Arabidopsis thaliana: one gene and its partners. The protein of the gene in region 2 interacts with the protein of the main gene of each other region in a pairwise test. Each region holds a gene or a part of one and is shown on either strand. Other genes may lie near its edges.

The links.
Region 1: the proteins of JAZ5 (region 2) and NINJA interact in binary tests that used the Arabidopsis thaliana proteins (3 or more experiments, as listed by UniProt).
Region 3: the proteins of JAZ5 (region 2) and AT1G01260 interact in binary tests that used the Arabidopsis thaliana proteins (3 or more experiments, as listed by UniProt).

What each region holds. Positions count from the first base shown.
Region 1 is NC_003075.7:14,263,502-14,268,524, forward strand, and holds NINJA (Putative interactor of JAZ), read right to left. Parts: upstream 3,286-5,023; 5' UTR 3,035-3,285; intron 2,644-3,034; exon of another isoform or gene 2,605-2,643; 5' UTR 2,522-2,604; intron 2,257-2,521; 5' UTR 2,180-2,256; coding exon 1,288-2,179; intron 1,215-1,287; coding exon 829-1,214; 3' UTR 533-828; downstream 1-532. Other genes in the region: AT4G28920 (hypothetical protein (DUF626)), read right to left, coding at 4,914-5,023. UniProt on the Arabidopsis thaliana protein: Acts as a transcriptional repressor. Negative regulator of jasmonate responses. Connects the JAZ proteins and the non-JAZ protein TIFY8 with the TOPLESS corepressors.
Region 2 is NC_003070.9:5,953,302-5,960,500, reverse strand, and holds JAZ5 (jasmonate-zim-domain protein 5), read left to right. Parts: upstream 1-2,989; 5' UTR 2,990-3,430; coding exon 3,431-3,608; exon of another isoform or gene 3,609-3,822; coding exon of another isoform or gene 3,823-3,913; coding exon 3,914-4,004; intron 4,005-4,124; coding exon 4,125-4,448; coding exon of another isoform or gene 4,449-4,515; exon of another isoform or gene 4,516-4,615; coding exon 4,616-4,847; 3' UTR 4,848-5,346; downstream 5,347-7,199. Other genes in the region: UBP1B (oligouridylate binding protein 1B), read left to right, coding at 5,676-5,780, 6,222-6,283, 6,659-6,761, 6,878-6,954, 7,055-7,116. UniProt on the Arabidopsis thaliana protein: Repressor of jasmonate responses.
Region 3 is NC_003070.9:107,313-112,231, reverse strand, and holds AT1G01260 (basic helix-loop-helix (bHLH) DNA-binding superfamily protein), read right to left. Parts: upstream 3,287-4,919; 5' UTR 2,902-3,286; exon of another isoform or gene 2,827-2,901; 5' UTR 2,638-2,826; coding exon 865-2,637; 3' UTR 533-864; downstream 1-532.

The DNA of each region.
Region 1 (5,023 bases), on a different chromosome or scaffold from region 2:
CTGCGAATGGACCTGCAACACTCAACAATACTTTGGGCCTCAGTCAAAGTGTCAAGCCCATCAACCTCAAGTCTTCTCTACCTTGCAACGGTAACAAGATTCCTCAATTTCCAGCGCATCAACGTACGGGATTCACAGCTAATCATTTGTCCCTTCATAACAAATTTGATCCTCTTTGTTCCTCTGTCGTGATGTGCAGCTAATGACGTGTGACCTAGTGTCTCACCATTTTGGGGTTCATATATAAACCCTTCTCTGTCATTGTAAACCTTAAGCTGAAATATTCAATAAAGAGATTTCTCTTCATCATCGTTTTATCAATACTTTCACTATTTTAGTCTTTCAATTACTTCTTTGTTATAGAATTTAACCACAACATTATCAATTTATTAACTATTAAGTAAGAGTTTGACATTATTCTTGCAGGTTTTCTGTACAACCAACCGTATCAATGGTATCAGGTTTTGACATGACATTACATAATTGAAGGTTTTGCTGTCGTTACATAGTAGTCAAAATCAAAGTGAATTATTTTACCAAAATAGTTGTTTAGATTTTAACCAAAGGAACAAAGGACACCGATAATGTTATGGTTATATATAATTTCCTTTCAACCAAAAAACAAAAAGGAAAGAAGAGGATTACATAAGGAATTGTGATGAAGTAGAGAGATTACAACAACATAACAGAAAGCTCAGTTAAAAAACTTTGGCTTGAGAGTTTGATCCGACTAAACATAATAAAATGTATGTTCCAAAAAGAAACTCATTACAAACCCTTCCATTTGTTTACAAGATTTCAGACATCTTTTTTTCCGGTGGTGACTTTTCAGGTGTGAGCTGACGCTGCAGTCATTCCCATGGATGATTCTGGGCTAACGTACTCCTCGCTTGCGTGCCGTACAAACTCCTCCGGTGACATGTGCGAGCCGTGGCAAGCGCATACGATTTTGATCTGGTTTGCGTTGTACCGGTATGTGACACCTGAGATTGTCCGTCCGTGTGGGCCTGAACCAGTGGTTGAGACCCACGGTAAGTTGGGACGTGCCCCGGATCCTCCAAACTTCACATCTGCTGCCATTCCAGGTTTTATGGCAGAAAAGTCGAAAGAGAAAGCGGTATTGAGGTTGCTGTTGTCTCCCGTTGGTCGTTCTGATGCATCCTCGGATGAACCTTCTTCTGCAACAGGTTGTTTGCCTTCGCCTTTTGCAGTAGCTTTTTGGAAGGAAAAGTTACTATTTTTGCTGTAAGAGTACTAAATCGTGTTTTAAGGGAAGGTTTTGCTTACCTGAGTTTGATGGAACTCTTCCAGCAAATGGAGATTGAGAAAGTGCGACAATCCCTCCTGAACCGTCCTTATCTAGCATAGGGAGCTGGACTGGTGAGTATCCGAACATAATCGGGAGATTTCCAGCATTAGCATTAGGCTGCAATAGACTTGTAGCTGCTGCGTGTTGTCCAGACTCTTTTGTCGGTAAAGAGTAAGGCATACTAGTGACGACATTTTGCGGATGAACTGTGAAAGGTACGGTGTAACTCATGTTGCGCATTGTAAACTCTTCAGTGCCAGATCCACCATGGTTGCTCCTCCTTTGACCAGTTAAGTTGTCCACAATGTTTGTATCAGTAGGAGGACGAACCACCTCCTTTGCGTGGTTGGAAGAAGAACCACCACCTACTTCAGACTCTGCTACATCTTCGTTTTCAGCTGTTGATCCTTCATCTGTCGCAGTTGAAACATGGGATGCTTTTGTCTTCTTCTCATGCATATCAACATGAGACGAGTCCTTCTCTTTTTTCTTATCATCATTCATCCCCGGGAACCCGAACTTTCTTTTGTTCCCTGCTTCTTTCCGTGACTCATCCTCCACCCACAAAGGTTTCGTAGAAGCTTCAGCCTCAGTTGTAGGAGCTTTTGAGAGGTCATTGAAGAAATTTTGTGGAGGCTGTTGACCCGAATCACTTCTCTGAGAACCAGAACTCGGCTCTGCAGGTCTTTGAGAAGTTGGATGCAGGAAGTTCTTAAAGTCATCAATCACTTTAGCACTTCTATCGCCTCCTTCTGCCCTGTAGTTCTCTGAGGAGCTTCCAGCATTATTATTATTGTTACCCTTAGCTTTTCCTGTTGATCCTCCACAAGAAAGACCCAAGCTGAGCTCGAGCCCATTATCATCGTCCATTTTTTCTCAAACTTTTTAAGCAAACTCTGAGCAGGTCAACAGATCTTCAGAGCACCGTCAACAATCTTGATTACCATCTGAGAAAAATACATCATGGGCAGAAAAGGACTCATTATCCAAAGCTAACCAATGGTTTCTAGAAAAAAGAATCAAACGCAAAGCTAAGAACTTTGAGAATCATAGATGGCTGCGGAAGTAAACTTCTTCTAAATTTATAAAAAGAAACACATCTGCTTGAACTTGCAACAAACATCACATGCTTTGCCAAAATCAATCCTAGTATTCAGTATAACAAATTAACAAGCTACCAGAACTCTCAGAAACATTGGACTCGGATAGTACCTTAGAAACAAAACCATTGAAAGAAACAATTCAGCAATTCTCCAGAAACTTTCTTCTCGCTCCTACCAAGTACCTTTTGAGTTCTGTGATAACAAAAAAAGACCATTTCTACAACTTAGGTTCTGAAAACCCCCAATATTCATCATTTCCATTTTGAGAAACTAAACTAAAATGGAAACAAAGCAAAGACACACATCACTCACACTTGTATGTCAGCTAACAAAAAAAAAAAAGGAATCAAAATCCAGAAATCAGAGTGAGAGATAGCACAAAGATCTAGTAACTGATAAGACACTATGCAGATCTGTCAGCTAAACGAGCTACATACGAAGAAACAAATCAATTGACTTTCTAAAGATCGAAATCATCAAAAGAATCATAACCTAGACGCGATCAGATTAAAACCCTGACCCCTAACTACACAGCAATAATGCCAAATCAGCTCAAATTAAATCACAATAAGCCGAATAAAGCTAAAACAGAAGCCGAAATCAGAATCGAGAAGATGAAAACCTGATGAAACCGAGGAAGAAGACGAACAAACCCTAGAGCTTCTTCGCAGCGTGGCGGCTCCTAGACAGTTGCATCAGCGATTGGGGCTTCTTCGGGTTCGGACAACTAGTACGGACCATTTCCCTTTTCCCTTCGTAATACTAATAATTATTATTTTATTGTACAATTAGTTTCGATTTCGTCCATGTGTATCTTGTGCATTTTCTTAACTTTTGAATAAATAACAATCGTATAGTCAGCATATATACTACATGTTTGCAATCATGAATATATTTGTACATTGTACATGTCCAATGCATGAATAGAAATACATGGGCCCAATTTTCTTTTTAAAGCCAAACTAGTCCATAACTATTCACATCTACCAACAGATTTTTCATTTCTTTAACAAGTTTTAGAGGAAACACATATGACATATCTTATGCGTTTTTATAAAGATATACTAAAAAGTTGGTCACATAGTATATAATCTATATTTTCTAGTCACCACTTTCTTTAGAATAGTTGGATAAGAGAGACAACATTACAAGATATGCTAAAACGATTTAATTACTCCATATGTGTGTAAATCGTCACTTAATTTAATACTTCAAAATTTCCTTCGAAAAAGACATAGCTAAAGATATGTGGGGATAATATATATATATATATATATAATAGTATCAAAAGCTGTTTGCCAAAAAAAAAAATTCAAAACGATAGGTTTATATATATATATATTTTAGATTGATTCATGATCAATAAAGTCGCTTTGGCCGAGTGGTTAAGGCGTGTGCCTGCTAAGTACATGGGGTTTCCCCGCGAGAGTTCGAATCTCTCAGGCGACGTTATCATTTTATTTTTGATATTTCCAGCTTTTTTTTCTTTGTCAGGCTTTTCCAGTTTTTTTTCCTCCTAAATTGACATGGTTTTATTTTTTTTGTACAAAAAATTGACATGTTTTTTTTTTAATACAAAAATTGACATGTTAAGACTTAAGACTAAAGAGGAAATTGGAAATTGGAAATTTGAATATTATAAAATAAAATTATCTTATGTTGTAAAATTTTAATGGCATGAAAATATGTTACTTATGTAAAAATAAAATAATGAAAACAAACATGGTTAATAATATTGAAAAGCTACAACATGAATAAATATATACTTTGATTGACTCATAAGCAATAAAGTTACATGGTTTTTTTTTTATTATTTCTGATGCTATTATTCATAGTTTTATAAGTTTGAAAAATAAATTAAAAAGGATCATTAACAATTCAAAGGATAAATAGACTTGTTTCTCTCTTTTTAATCGTCATATTAAATACCATAAGATGTCGAATTTTTCAACCTAATGTCTACGTTGATGATGTTGTGGCTATCCACCGTGAGACGGTGAAGAAGACCCCTCACCGTCTCCCACATACAAAATCGCCGCCGCCTATCACATTGTTTCAAAGAAACTCCTCCTCACCGACTTGCTCTCAATAGAAGTGAACTCCCATCTCCCAACCCTAGTCCCAGGAGCCTCCATCATCGTTACCAACAATTCACGATAATACAACTCTAAATATTATTCTCTCAGCTTCAACTTCTCATGAAAATCATATATGTTTTGTTACTCTTCAAAAATCCAAGGAATAAAATGATAGAAAAAAATATATTCTTAGAGCTCTTGGTGATTTCATACTTGTCTTGATTGATATCACAATATTCAGAACAAGTAATCACAAGTAGAAGACAAGCTTTAAAAAGAGGAAGAAGAAGAGACTTGTAGTTATTGCATTGAGAACAAGTAATCACAGATTCACAGTATAGTCGTCATCAAAGGACTTGAAGTCAACCCTACGGTAACTTTTTATTGAGCAGCAGAGGATGAGCATTCCGGTTCAGGTTTACTCTAGGGCGGTTCATCCTCCCCAATTAAATCGCTTGGTATGGCTTGCCAAGAGTCAACTTCTAGACGAATGTGTCCCGGTTTTCCATCCATGGCTTTCCGTACTATTGTTT
Region 2 (7,199 bases):
ATTCAATCATTCTTCTTTGTTACATTATTTGTGCCTTTGGTTCACTTTTTATGTAGGAGTCAAGTCAACTCTTGAGATACTCCTCTCTCGTTTCTCCTTGATGTATTATCATATCTATAAAGACATTGGAATATAGCTTTTCCTAGCTTTGTTCAAAATTTGAAAAAATTGAACGTTTAACTTTAGTAAAAAGTGTATTTAAAATAGAGTTTATAAATTCGGTATTACACTATCAATTAATATATAAATTTTAAGAAGATAGATTATTCTTTTTCGTCAATTGGAAAAAAATTATTCGAAAACATAGAATATGATATAAATCTACGTCTATAAGATTGAAATTTAAGGTTAGTGCCTAACGAATGTCGAACATTTCAAAGGAATATTATTGTTTCTTGATTCTTCATTAGCTTTTTGAAATACGAAAGTTTTGCTTTCAAAATAATATGGATCTTCTCATTCAAAGGACGAAAACTGCCTTGATGATGATCTCTAAGACCGTAACTTAAAATATGGGTTGGTGTTGGCCCAAAATCAATGTTAAGTTCCCACCAAGCCCATGCCATATTCTCCAATAGAGTATTTAACTATTAATGATATAAATATTCTAACAGTAACAACATAAGACACAATTACAAGTTTAGTGATATATAGTGTTGGAATATAATTATAAATTCGAAAGAAGTGGATTATGTAATGAGAGGTTGAAACGGGTCAAATATTAGCGTAGAGCATCTGTGGCGTTTCGGTTCAATGTAAAGAAAATATCATTTTTGTTTTTATTATTAAAACCAAGACAAGAGTTATATAGTACTATATCACTTCATGATGATGTGAGTCTATGGTCGAAAATTTTGAGAAGCAAGTACCGTGTCGGTGATATTCATAACAGAGCGTGGATGGTGTCTAAAGGTACATGGTCTTCTACATGGCGAGAGTGGGGAGGAGACAATTCTACACATTTTACGGGACTGTCCGGCGATGGCGGGAATTTGGACCCGCTTGTTACCAGTACGGAGACTCTCTTCTTTCTTTTCGAAATCGCTGTTAGAATGGATCTATGCGAATTTAGGAGAGGAGATAGAGATTAATGGTTGTCCATGGGCGGTCACTTTTTCGCAGGCCATATGGTGGGGGTGGAAATGGCGTTACGGTAACATCTTTGGCGAGAACAAGAAGTGTCGGGATCGGGTTCGTTTTATTAAGGATCGTGCGTTGGATGTTTGGAAGGCGCATGTGCACAAAATGGGAGTGACGACGCGGACAGCTAGGGAGGAGAGATTGATTGCGTGGTCTCCGCCAAGGGTGGGTTGGTTTAAGCTCAATACTGATGGTGCTTCGCGTGGTAACCCGAGACTAGCTACAGCAGGTGGAGTAGTTCGAGACGGGGATGGAAATTGGTGTTATGGGTTTTCGTTGAATATTGGAATTTGTTCGGCTCCGCTTGCGGAACTATGGGGAGCATATTACGGTTTAAATATCGCTTGGGAGCGCGGTGTCACACAGTTGGAGATGGAGATTGATTCGGAGATGGTAGTGGGTTTTCTTCGGACAGGGATTGATGATTCGCATCCGCTGTCCTTCCTGGTGCGGTTGTGCCATGGCTTACTTTCAAAGGACTGGTCAGTCCGGATTTCGCATGTGTATAGAGAAGCTAATCGTCTCGCGGATGGGTTAGCTAACTATGCTTTTTTTTTACCGTTAGGTTTTCATTTGTTTAATTCTACTCCGGATATTGTTATGTCGATTGTTCACGATGATGTAGCGGGGTCTGCGTACCCCCGGAACGTTCAAGTGTAATTTTTTTAGTTTTTTCAGTTTTAATAAAAATGGGGGTTCGCCCCCCTCTTCTACAAAAAAAAATATCACTTTCAAAAGGACCCATTCGCTACCCAATTTTTCTAAACCCCAGAACGTTTTTTTTTTTTCCAAAACACAACAGCCACTTGGTCTTTGCAACAATGCAAGTAGTGTAGTGGCGTAGCTAGGGGTAACGAGTTACCAAACCGGTTTGACAATCTGGTTCGATCAATTGGCCGATCACTCGGTTTGCTCTAATCTTGCTTCATTTAGTCCCATCAACAACACTTATTAAACTAAGTCACATCTAAACTTTTTATATCTTTGGTATCATTTTCCCCGAACACGTTTTTTTGAACGAGTCGTAGTTTTGAAGCAACCAACGAACGTATTGATTATTATGGGCATCCGTGAAAGGGGCAGTTCGGTCAATTGATCCATCAATTTTATTTTTGACCAAACTGATTAGGTGATCTTAAGATTTTTCCTTTTTTCTTTCTATAGGAAAGTGGGAAAAACGCGATTCACACGATACTGTTGCTAGTGCGTCGTACAGATTGCGATACGTGTCACAATCTTGACGGTCTGTTCTATTTAAACCACGTGTTTTAATCAAAAAACTTCTGTCGGATCGTATCGGAGACTTTGAATTTTTATGGCACATGAAACTTCGTAGGGGTTTGATGGTAGGATCCCACATTGGTCCACTTACTATTCAATTCGCACCGCCGTTAAGTTTGTTAACTAACGTGAGGAACGTCGCGGTGATGTAAAAAAAGGCCATGAAAGTTGTTTCTATTACGATGATGCCATCACTGGAGTTGGTAATGTGCTCTTGTGGAAGGGCAAATTTTGTAAATACGATCAAATTTCGAGTCTTTTACGAATTTGTGACATACGCCGTTTAATAACGTTTGCCGTCGGTTCTGAAATCTTTATTCTTTTTCTCTTTTATCGTTACGCGTAAGGAAAACGTGCGGTAAATTCTAACCGAAAATATATATAAAAAAGTAGTCCAATTTTGAAATCTGGCCGTTGATGGTAGACAACTAAACTGTGCCAAACAAGAAACAAGAGGTGAACATATTTTTATGATAAGACAGGGCAATAAATTTGTTGTACCAACTCATAAAACAATAGATAAATTACTTGCACAATGATGGATTATTAACATTAATTTTCTTACTATTAATCATGGATGAAAATTCCTTTCTTCACACTAGATATAGTTCTTTAACTAGTTAAAAATGCATGCGATGGAATATTACTAAATATGATATAATCTCATGGCTTTATGTAAGATTTGTTTTTTGGTTTTTTTGGTTGTTGTTAATAAATTTATTATTGAGAAGTTTAATTCTATTTTGGTCACAATATATTGAAATATTTTTAAGAAACTAAAAAGTTCCTATTTATTTTTGTTTTCATTAATTTATGAGAGGCTATTAAAGTCACAGAAACTTATTGGGTGAATGAGTTTATAAACACATGAGCTATTGAGCTAGTAGCCTCTTGTACTCTTCCATTTTACGCGCAATCCACGCACCAACAAAAAGAAAAGAAAAGAAGAGATAAAGAATATCTTTAAAAAGTAAGTGTGGAGAATTCTTTCTTCTCAATAAACAACAACATGTCGTCGAGCAATGAAAATGCTAAGGCACAAGCGCCGGAGAAATCTGACTTTACCCGGAGATGTAGTTTGCTCAGCCGTTACTTGAAGGAGAAGGGTAGTTTCGGAAACATTGATCTTGGCTTATACCGAAAACCCGATTCCAGTCTCGCGTTGCCCGGAAAATTCGATCCACCAGGTACTTTTATTATCTCTTTCTTCTTTCATGGCCGCCACTTGGTAATAGTACTTTAAAAACTCAGTTCTGTTACTACTTGCTTTTGCCAGATTTACTACTTTTGTATTGTTTCTTCATTTGTAAGTCAGTTCCTTACTTCAGAAATAATTTCTCCTTGTAATTATGAAGACAAGTAACAAAAATAACGAATAAGTTGATATAGAAATTGATTGAGATGTGGTTAATAAAATTCCAAAGATATAAGATGCTATATCATTTTTCTAAAGTTATTATAGTTCACGAAAGTTTTTATTCTCTTTATGCAGGGAAACAAAATGCGATGCATAAGGCAGGGCATTCCAAAGGCGAACCCTCTACCTCATCAGGAGGCAAAGTCAAAGATGTTGCTGACCTCAGGTCTCTCCTTTTGTTCCTTGGGAATACTTGTTGTTTTTGGTTATTGGAGATTAGAGAAAAGGATAATCGGTTAATCCGGTTAAAATTGGTTTTGTTCTGAAATCTGTTTTTGGTTTGCAGTGAATCACAGCCAGGAAGTTCGCAGCTGACCATATTCTTCGGAGGGAAAGTTTTAGTATATAATGAGTTCCCCGTAGACAAAGCTAAAGAGATTATGGAAGTAGCAAAACAAGCCAAGCCTGTGACTGAGATTAACATTCAGACACCAATCAATGACGAAAACAACAACAACAAGAGCAGCATGGTTCTTCCTGATCTCAATGAGCCTACTGATAATAATCACCTAACAAAGGAACAACAACAGCAACAAGAACAAAATCAGATCGTGGAACGTATAGCACGTAGAGCTTCCCTCCATCGATTCTTTGCTAAACGGAAAGACAGGTATTTAACCTTATCATACTTTTTGAAACTTGTTTTAATGTTCCAAATTTCCAATCACTCTAGTTAGTTCAAAACTCAAAAGTTTAAGGATCCTCCCTCTGATATAAGTTCTCCTAAATTATCCTCAACAAGCCTCGTAATTTACGTTATTAATTTTTCTGTTGCAGAGCTGTGGCTAGGGCTCCGTACCAAGTTAACCAAAACGCAGGTCATCATCGTTATCCTCCCAAGCCAGAGATTGTAACCGGTCAACCACTAGAGGCAGGACAGTCGTCACAAAGACCGCCGGATAACGCCATTGGTCAAACCATGGCCCATATCAAATCAGACGGTGATAAAGATGATATTATGAAGATTGAAGAAGGCCAAAGTTCGAAAGATCTCGATCTAAGGCTATAGTAATATTTGCTAAATTTCTTGTAGGAACTGAGTTTTTAGATTAACGTTTCGATTTTTCTGACTTATCTAAGTGATTTTATTTTGCTTTGTACTACAGTATGTAATCTTATTCTAACTTGAATATTCATTCATAAACACAATAGACGATAGTAAAGTTATATTATAATTAGTTAACTACGTACAACACTTGGGAGTTAAATTACATAACGTTAAGCGAGAAATAGCAAATTAGACAAGAGGAAGAATATTTAGGAGTTGTGAATTGATCTGACTGCAATAACATGAAGAGGAATCTGACTGCAATCGTAATGCGGGTAAAGATGGTTGAAAGTGATCAGAGCTCCTTTCTAATTTATTTAGGGTGTAATTTATGAAAATGATTATTATTGGAGTGTATATCAAGTTTTCACTAAACTCAGGGGTGTTTATTGTAATTAGTTGTCAGGTTCAAGTTCATTGAAGGCGTGTCTGATTTGGACAGTGATTGGGCCTGAGCCATAAGTTTAACGTGGGACGAGTTCATTGGCTGTTGCTTTTTAAATTTTCTTACAGCCTGTGACTTTAGCTAATCGATGTGTAAAAATAATAAATCCAATAAAATTCGTAAGAGCCACTCGATTGCTTCCTTCGCTTTCTATCAAGAGACTTCCTTTTTTTTTTCCTGTTCTTCATTTTTTTTTTGTTATTAATATTTTGTCATTTTTCTTACATTTTTCTCGAACACCGAAAACACTTTCGAACCCTAAAAGACAGAACACTGTGTCAATTTTCATTACCTGGGAACGAAAAGCAAAATCAAAGACAATAATTTTTTCCCCGAGAGAGAAAATGCAGAGGTTGAAGCAGCAGCAGCAGCAGCAACAAGTTATGATGCAGCAAGCTCTTATGCAGCAACAGTCTCTCTACCATCCTGGTCTCCTTGCCCCGCCACAGGTTTGCTCTATTCTTCTTCCATTTCCATGCTCGATTTGGGTTTCTAGGCTCTTTTTCCCAAGCTCGATTTCACTGGTTTTTCTCTCTTTTTTGTTGTATAAGGTCCAAGATTAGGAACTCGAGATTTTTGGTTTCATTTTCTATGATTGAAGATGCTTGTTTCTCTTGTTTTTTGTTTCATTTTTGATTGGTCAAACGAGAAAAAGTTTTGAAATTTATGGGGATTACCACTAATAGACTTGCTTCTTGTGTATTCGTTACATTTCTTTTAAAGTGTTTGTCTTATTATCTGATATTTGGTTCAACAACTCCATGAAAATCTTTGAGGTGAGACTGATTCGTTATCGTAGCTTAGTTGCTGAGACTTTAGGAAGTAAAGTTTTTTCCTTTATTTCTTTCTTTTTCATTTTCTTTGGCTTCCTATTTTTTTCCTTTTTGCAGATAGAACCAATCCCAAGTGGAAATCTCCCCCCTGGTTTTGATCCAAGTACTTGCCGCAGTGTGTGAGTGTTAGGTTTCGTTTTTTCTTTTGGTATTTTTGTTCACTTTTTATGTATGTTTTGGTGTTTTGGCTTTAAAAGTTTCAGTAGTGAACTCAAGTTTTCAGTTTGTCACTCTCAAAGCTAGTCCAGGGAAACACTTCTGCATTGTAGTTATGTACTATATTATATAGTTCATACTTGTACAGTTGAATTTGACAACGTTTCTCTAAAGACTTGTTTCTATTTTCTAGAAAAGGTGATTCTTTGTTATGATGCCCTCATAGGTGATTCTTCTTGATGTTGAGGGACTTGTAGCCCTGCTAATTTTTATGTTTTTGTTTCATTGTTCTGTTTCTTGTTTAGATTTTTAGTCTGCCTGCCTTTGAGAAATTGCAGGTACGTTGGAAACATCCATATTCAGGTGACGGAACCTCTGCTTCAAGAGGTTTTTGCTGGCACTGGTCCTGTAGAAAGCTGTAAACTAATTAGGAAAGAAAAGGTGTGTTATGTTACACTTTTATAACATTCTAGTAGTAATCTTCAGGATGTTTAATCTTTTATGTTGAAACTTTTGCTTTTGGTATTGGCTATGATTGACACATTTATCTGATGCAGTCTTCTTATGGGTTTGTGCACTACTTTGATCGAAGATCGGCTGGTCTTGCAATCCTTTCTCTCAATGGAAGGCATTTGTAAGTTAATGGACATGATTATTAGCCTTTGGGCATTTTAGCATGAACAAGATACTCTGTTTTCCAAGTTTTGGATTACATTGTTTACTCTAATGTGCAGGTTTGGGCAACCTATCAAGGTTAACTGGGCTTATGCGAGTGGCCAGAGGGAGGATACATCAAGTTGGTTCACAATCTTATGCTTGATTTCTTGCTAAAACAGTATTTTGGGTGTTCTATTGATACAATAACGCACTTCTGTGATC
Region 3 (4,919 bases), 5.8 Mb from region 2:
CTCAATATATAACAAATCATGGAAGACTAGTAGCTAAGTTTTTGTTAGAACGATTAATTATCATTTAAGAGAAGAAAAAAAAACAATCTAACATGTATCTCTCTCTTTGTGTGACACTTTTATGATCTGCATGCTTTGTTCATGTTCTTTTTAATCGGTTTATTAGGACTGAGTTAGCTTAGGAAATCTAGAAAGAAACATCGCATTACCCTTTGACTCACAATAGAGAAACATATTAAAAACGTATTTACTGCAATCTAAACATCAAGCGGTTCCATGGTCTAGCGGTTAGGACACTAGACTCTGAATCTAGTAACCCGAGTTCAAGTCTCGGTGGAACCTATTTTTATTTTTGTTACATTTTCCACCTGTTTCTCTTCTTAAAACTTTTGTTTTCCCCAGGCGATAACGGTTTATGTTAGTTTGAACACTAAAAATGGTGTGCACGAACATCATAGTGTTTCCTCTTGTTCACAAGCAATGAATCAGCTGTGTTTTGTTGTTCTTGAGCAATTCCGTGACCAATCCATAACACTTATCTGACTTGTCGATTAAACACTTCACCAAATCCAACACATAGGACATATCAGAATGAATAAAGACTGATTCATGAGCTAGTCTACGACTTTAACAGATACAACATTATCGTTAATTACTTAATTCCCAGCTTTGTCCACTGTAAAACGAGTAAATGATAATGTCTACTTTTGTCAATAAAACTTCTAAAATCCTAGTTTGGAGGATTCTTACAGGTATATAACCAAAAAAAGGTAAAAACAAAAGATACCTAGAAGAAAAAAAGAACCATTCAAAACCGGTTCTTGATTACAAACTTACTTCCACCTTCTTCTGTCTCTCAAAAGGCTATCTACCTGATGATGTTCTTGACTGAACTGAATTTGTTTGCTCTCTAGACAAGGCCGATATCAGCTTCTCTTTCGTTAATTCTTCAGATTTGACTACAAACGTATGCAACACTGTGTCCTGAGAAACTTCCAGGTTCGAGTTTATCACTTCTACTTTACTCTCTTCAAACGCATGGAAGATTCTGGAAGCCGGATGAGACTCCAACGGACAGTTTATCCTCACTGTGACATCTTCACCTGAGGTTTGAACATTTATATCTGAATCCAAGCTGATAGGTGGATTTGAGCTATACCCTAACCTCTCTCTCTCTGCTTCCATGACCTTTAGCTTCGCGTGAAGCTCGTTTATATAAGAAACCGCGTCTCCCAACAAGGACGCTTTGTCCATCTTGGATATGTTGGGAACAACGGATCTCAGAGCGTAAAACCTCTGGTTAAGCTTCTCACGCCTCTGCCTCTCTGCTTCTACATGGTTCAAAGCTTCCGCTCTTCCGTTGGCAGGTCTCCTTCCGCGTTTTCTTGGTCTGTTGTTACCAGATTCATCAGCACCCACTGCATCTGCCCATTCCCCTCCTCCTTCTCCATCTGAATTATTCTCTGAAGCCCTTGAACTCGCAGCAGAGAAATCTATCTGCATTTGAGCAGGAGGAAGCAGCCTCTGCGATGATTGCTGCAAAGGTAAAAACTTGAACTCATCCGTGCTTGGAACTTCCTTCACGTTGATTGGCCTCGTGTAGTTCTCAGGTTGAACCCAAGTAGGACTCAGAAGAGTGTTGTTGTTGGTGCCTGGGTTCGAAAACATAAACCTGTTCCCATTATTCGGATAAGCATCTAATCTCTTGGGAGCTCTATCATCCATTTTTCTAACCGTGAGTTTCTCTCTAAACTGTCTATGCTGTTGCTGTTGCGGTGGTTGTTGTTGTTGTTGTTGGTGATGCTGATGATGTTGAAGAAACCCTGAATTGTGCAAATCCTTGCCGAATATCTTCGTTCTGTTATCATCAATCTTTTCAGCTACAGTAACAGGTAAAGCAACAGCTCTAACCGGAGGCAAACTACTGGTAAACAATGATCTTATAGACAAGATTGAGTCTTCACTTTCAGGCAAACATGAAGTTGAGCCTAACTCAACAACACCAAGATCAGTAGGAACCAAAACAACAGTCTGAATGCCAGCAGATTTAGCAAGAAACGATCTAACGCAATAATCAGAACCCGAATTGACGACATCGGATAACCAAACAGGTTTAGCAGAGGCAAAACACTTGCCTGGACCACCTTCACCTCGAGGGAATGAGAAATACATAGAAGAAAGAAGAAACATCTCAGTGTCAGTAACTCTATCTAGTCCTAAAGCACAGTTCTCTTCTTCTGAGCCACCAAACAAATCATGAAGCTTTTGCAATACTCTCTTTCTCATAGTCTGATGCGTTTCTTCTTCTCTTCCCATACTTAGAATCCTAACGATCTCTGATTTCTCTCCTTCTTTAGGCTCTCTGCAATATCCATCGCCCCAACAGAGAACCAAATCTCCGGCCTTTGACCTGGAAATCTGCCAGAAAATGGCGTAGTTCCAAGAGAAATTAGAAGCGTTGGGTCTCTCGACGAGATCCGAGAGCTTGTTCTGCAGATTCTCGTCGCTTCCTAGAGTCATCAAGAGATTAGCATTGGAAACAGAGTTGGAAAGCAAGTAATCGAGAGCTCGTTTGCCCAGTAATGACGCAACAATCGCTTTATCGTCCTCGTTCCACACTAGGCGACCAATATTCATCTCTGCTTTCTTTTCTTTTGTTGTTTGGATCCCAACAAAAAGGAAAGACTTTTAAGAAACCCAGATCTTCAGAAATCGATTCTTAAGTCAAATGATAGGGTTTAGAAGTGTGACCCAGATGCAAATATACGGCGGAGTATAACAGTTTTGCATGGAACACCCAGAGATCTCAGATCTTGCCCCTATTTTCTTTAACAACAATTAAATGACAAAAATCAAACTCCACCAACAGAAAATGAGGAATTGAGAAGAATATATTTTTACCAGTAAAGAAGATTTGAATCAAGTCTCTTCCACCGAGATTTTCTCCTCAAAATCAGATTTTTGAGAATCCGACCCAAAAAAAAACACAAATTTTAAATCTCCCAAACCCCACCAAAATGGACAAACAAATTACCTAAATTCCCCGAAAAAGAACCCTAAGAATCCAGAAAATAAAAAAAGATGTATCAGTTTCGCTGTATCGGCTCCCTGTTTTGTCGCCGTGGCCAATTGAATGAATTCAAGGAAGAGAGAGAGTCCGACGCATGTTCTTCGTGCTCTTTTTTATTAAAAGACCAAACCCCAACAAACAAAACAAAAAACAAAACAAAAAGACTTTCATCTGAACCATGGTTAGCTACTTAACTACACAATTGAGTTTAGAAACTTAAACCGGGTCTGGTTCGATTTAGTCTTTGTCTCGAGTCTTTGATACACGACGATTGAAAACCCCTTAGATTATGTCATGGTTTTTGTCAATAATTGATTGACATAATTTTCAATTATGGGTTTTGATTAATTAAAAATTTGCAACAGATCTATCTCAACTGGTGTAGATCTAAACAAATACTATCTGACAACTCGAGATTAGATTCTCATGTTCATGGAAATAACTAAAGGGGAAACCAAACCCAAATTTAGAAGTTTGCTTTCAATTTTTAAAATTTTTGTTTACATAATTGCAAAGTATGCCAACTAAGACCGGTGGTCAAGCACCGGGAATTTTGACCAAATCAATTCACATTCAAGTTAGGCTTAAATATTCGGTTTTTGTTGTGTTTTGTTTTGTTGCAAAGACTAAAGAGTTGTTCCTTAAGTTTCAAATGCTTTCAGAATTATACAAAATAAAAGGCTTATTTTAGTTTAGATCCTTGATTATTATTTTTGGTAATATTATTGATGGTGGTTCTACAACGGGAGTAAATAATTTTTTTAAAAACAAAACAAAAAAACAAATTACTAAATAACTTGATAAATGTTGACAAAACAATTCAACTCCTTTAGAAGAAAGGAAACGCCAAGTCGATAGAGAGGAGGGCGTGAAAAGCACGTGAAGTTCACGTGGATTTAGGAGAGATGACCAGAATGAGAAGAACGTGAGATGCATTTAATTTTCTTTGGATCTCTTTTTCTTTTTAATTTCATTTTCAAATGCGCCTGCACAGCTCTGCACTTTCTCTTCTGTAACGTTTTTTTTTTCTCTTTCTCTTTTTGTTTATTCTCTCGCAACCACAATTGAATTGTAATATATTTATAGCTTTCACTCTTTAAGTCATAAAATTATCATCAAAATATAAACTACGGCTCTGCGAAAATGAATATACAATGACTATATTATTTTGGAAAAATCTTTAACAAACGATAAAGTTAAAACAAAAAATTAGTATATATAGTAATTATGGAAAATGAAGTCACGAGTGGGTATAATATATGTATGGCGGTGAGAAACACACAGCAAAAAGTGGGGACCGCGTGATTCACGTGTTTAAACTATCCTTTATTCGAGACGTTTGGGTCCCATTCCCATCTAAGTCAAACAACGACGTCGACTTACAATATCTCCAAGTCGTCAAGAATATAATATGGGCCGATATTACAATACTGGTTTTCTATGGAATTCTTGTAATGTTGGGCCACATATGTGCTAGGTCAAACGTGATATCAGCCTTTTTCCCAAACCTTAATAATGCCCCCCATCTATCCCTTATCTAGCAATCAGAATTAGAATGGGCTGTTCAACGGACTCAGTCTTGAATTCTTAAATCTCAATCTTATCATATATTTCATTGGTTTTGTTTTACCACAACAAATCGGCCTATTAGTCCAGTTAACTCTATTGTAAGAGTTGATTTAATCCCGGATAAAGTAGTGCCGGTTCTTGGTGAACTTATTCTGAATGCCACTAAACCTATCGCTTTGTTTAAATTTGTACTAACAATATATCAAGTATTCATTTATCTTCAATAATGATCCAAATTGGTTTGATTTTCACACGTGACTGTAAACTCTAGCTTCAGAAA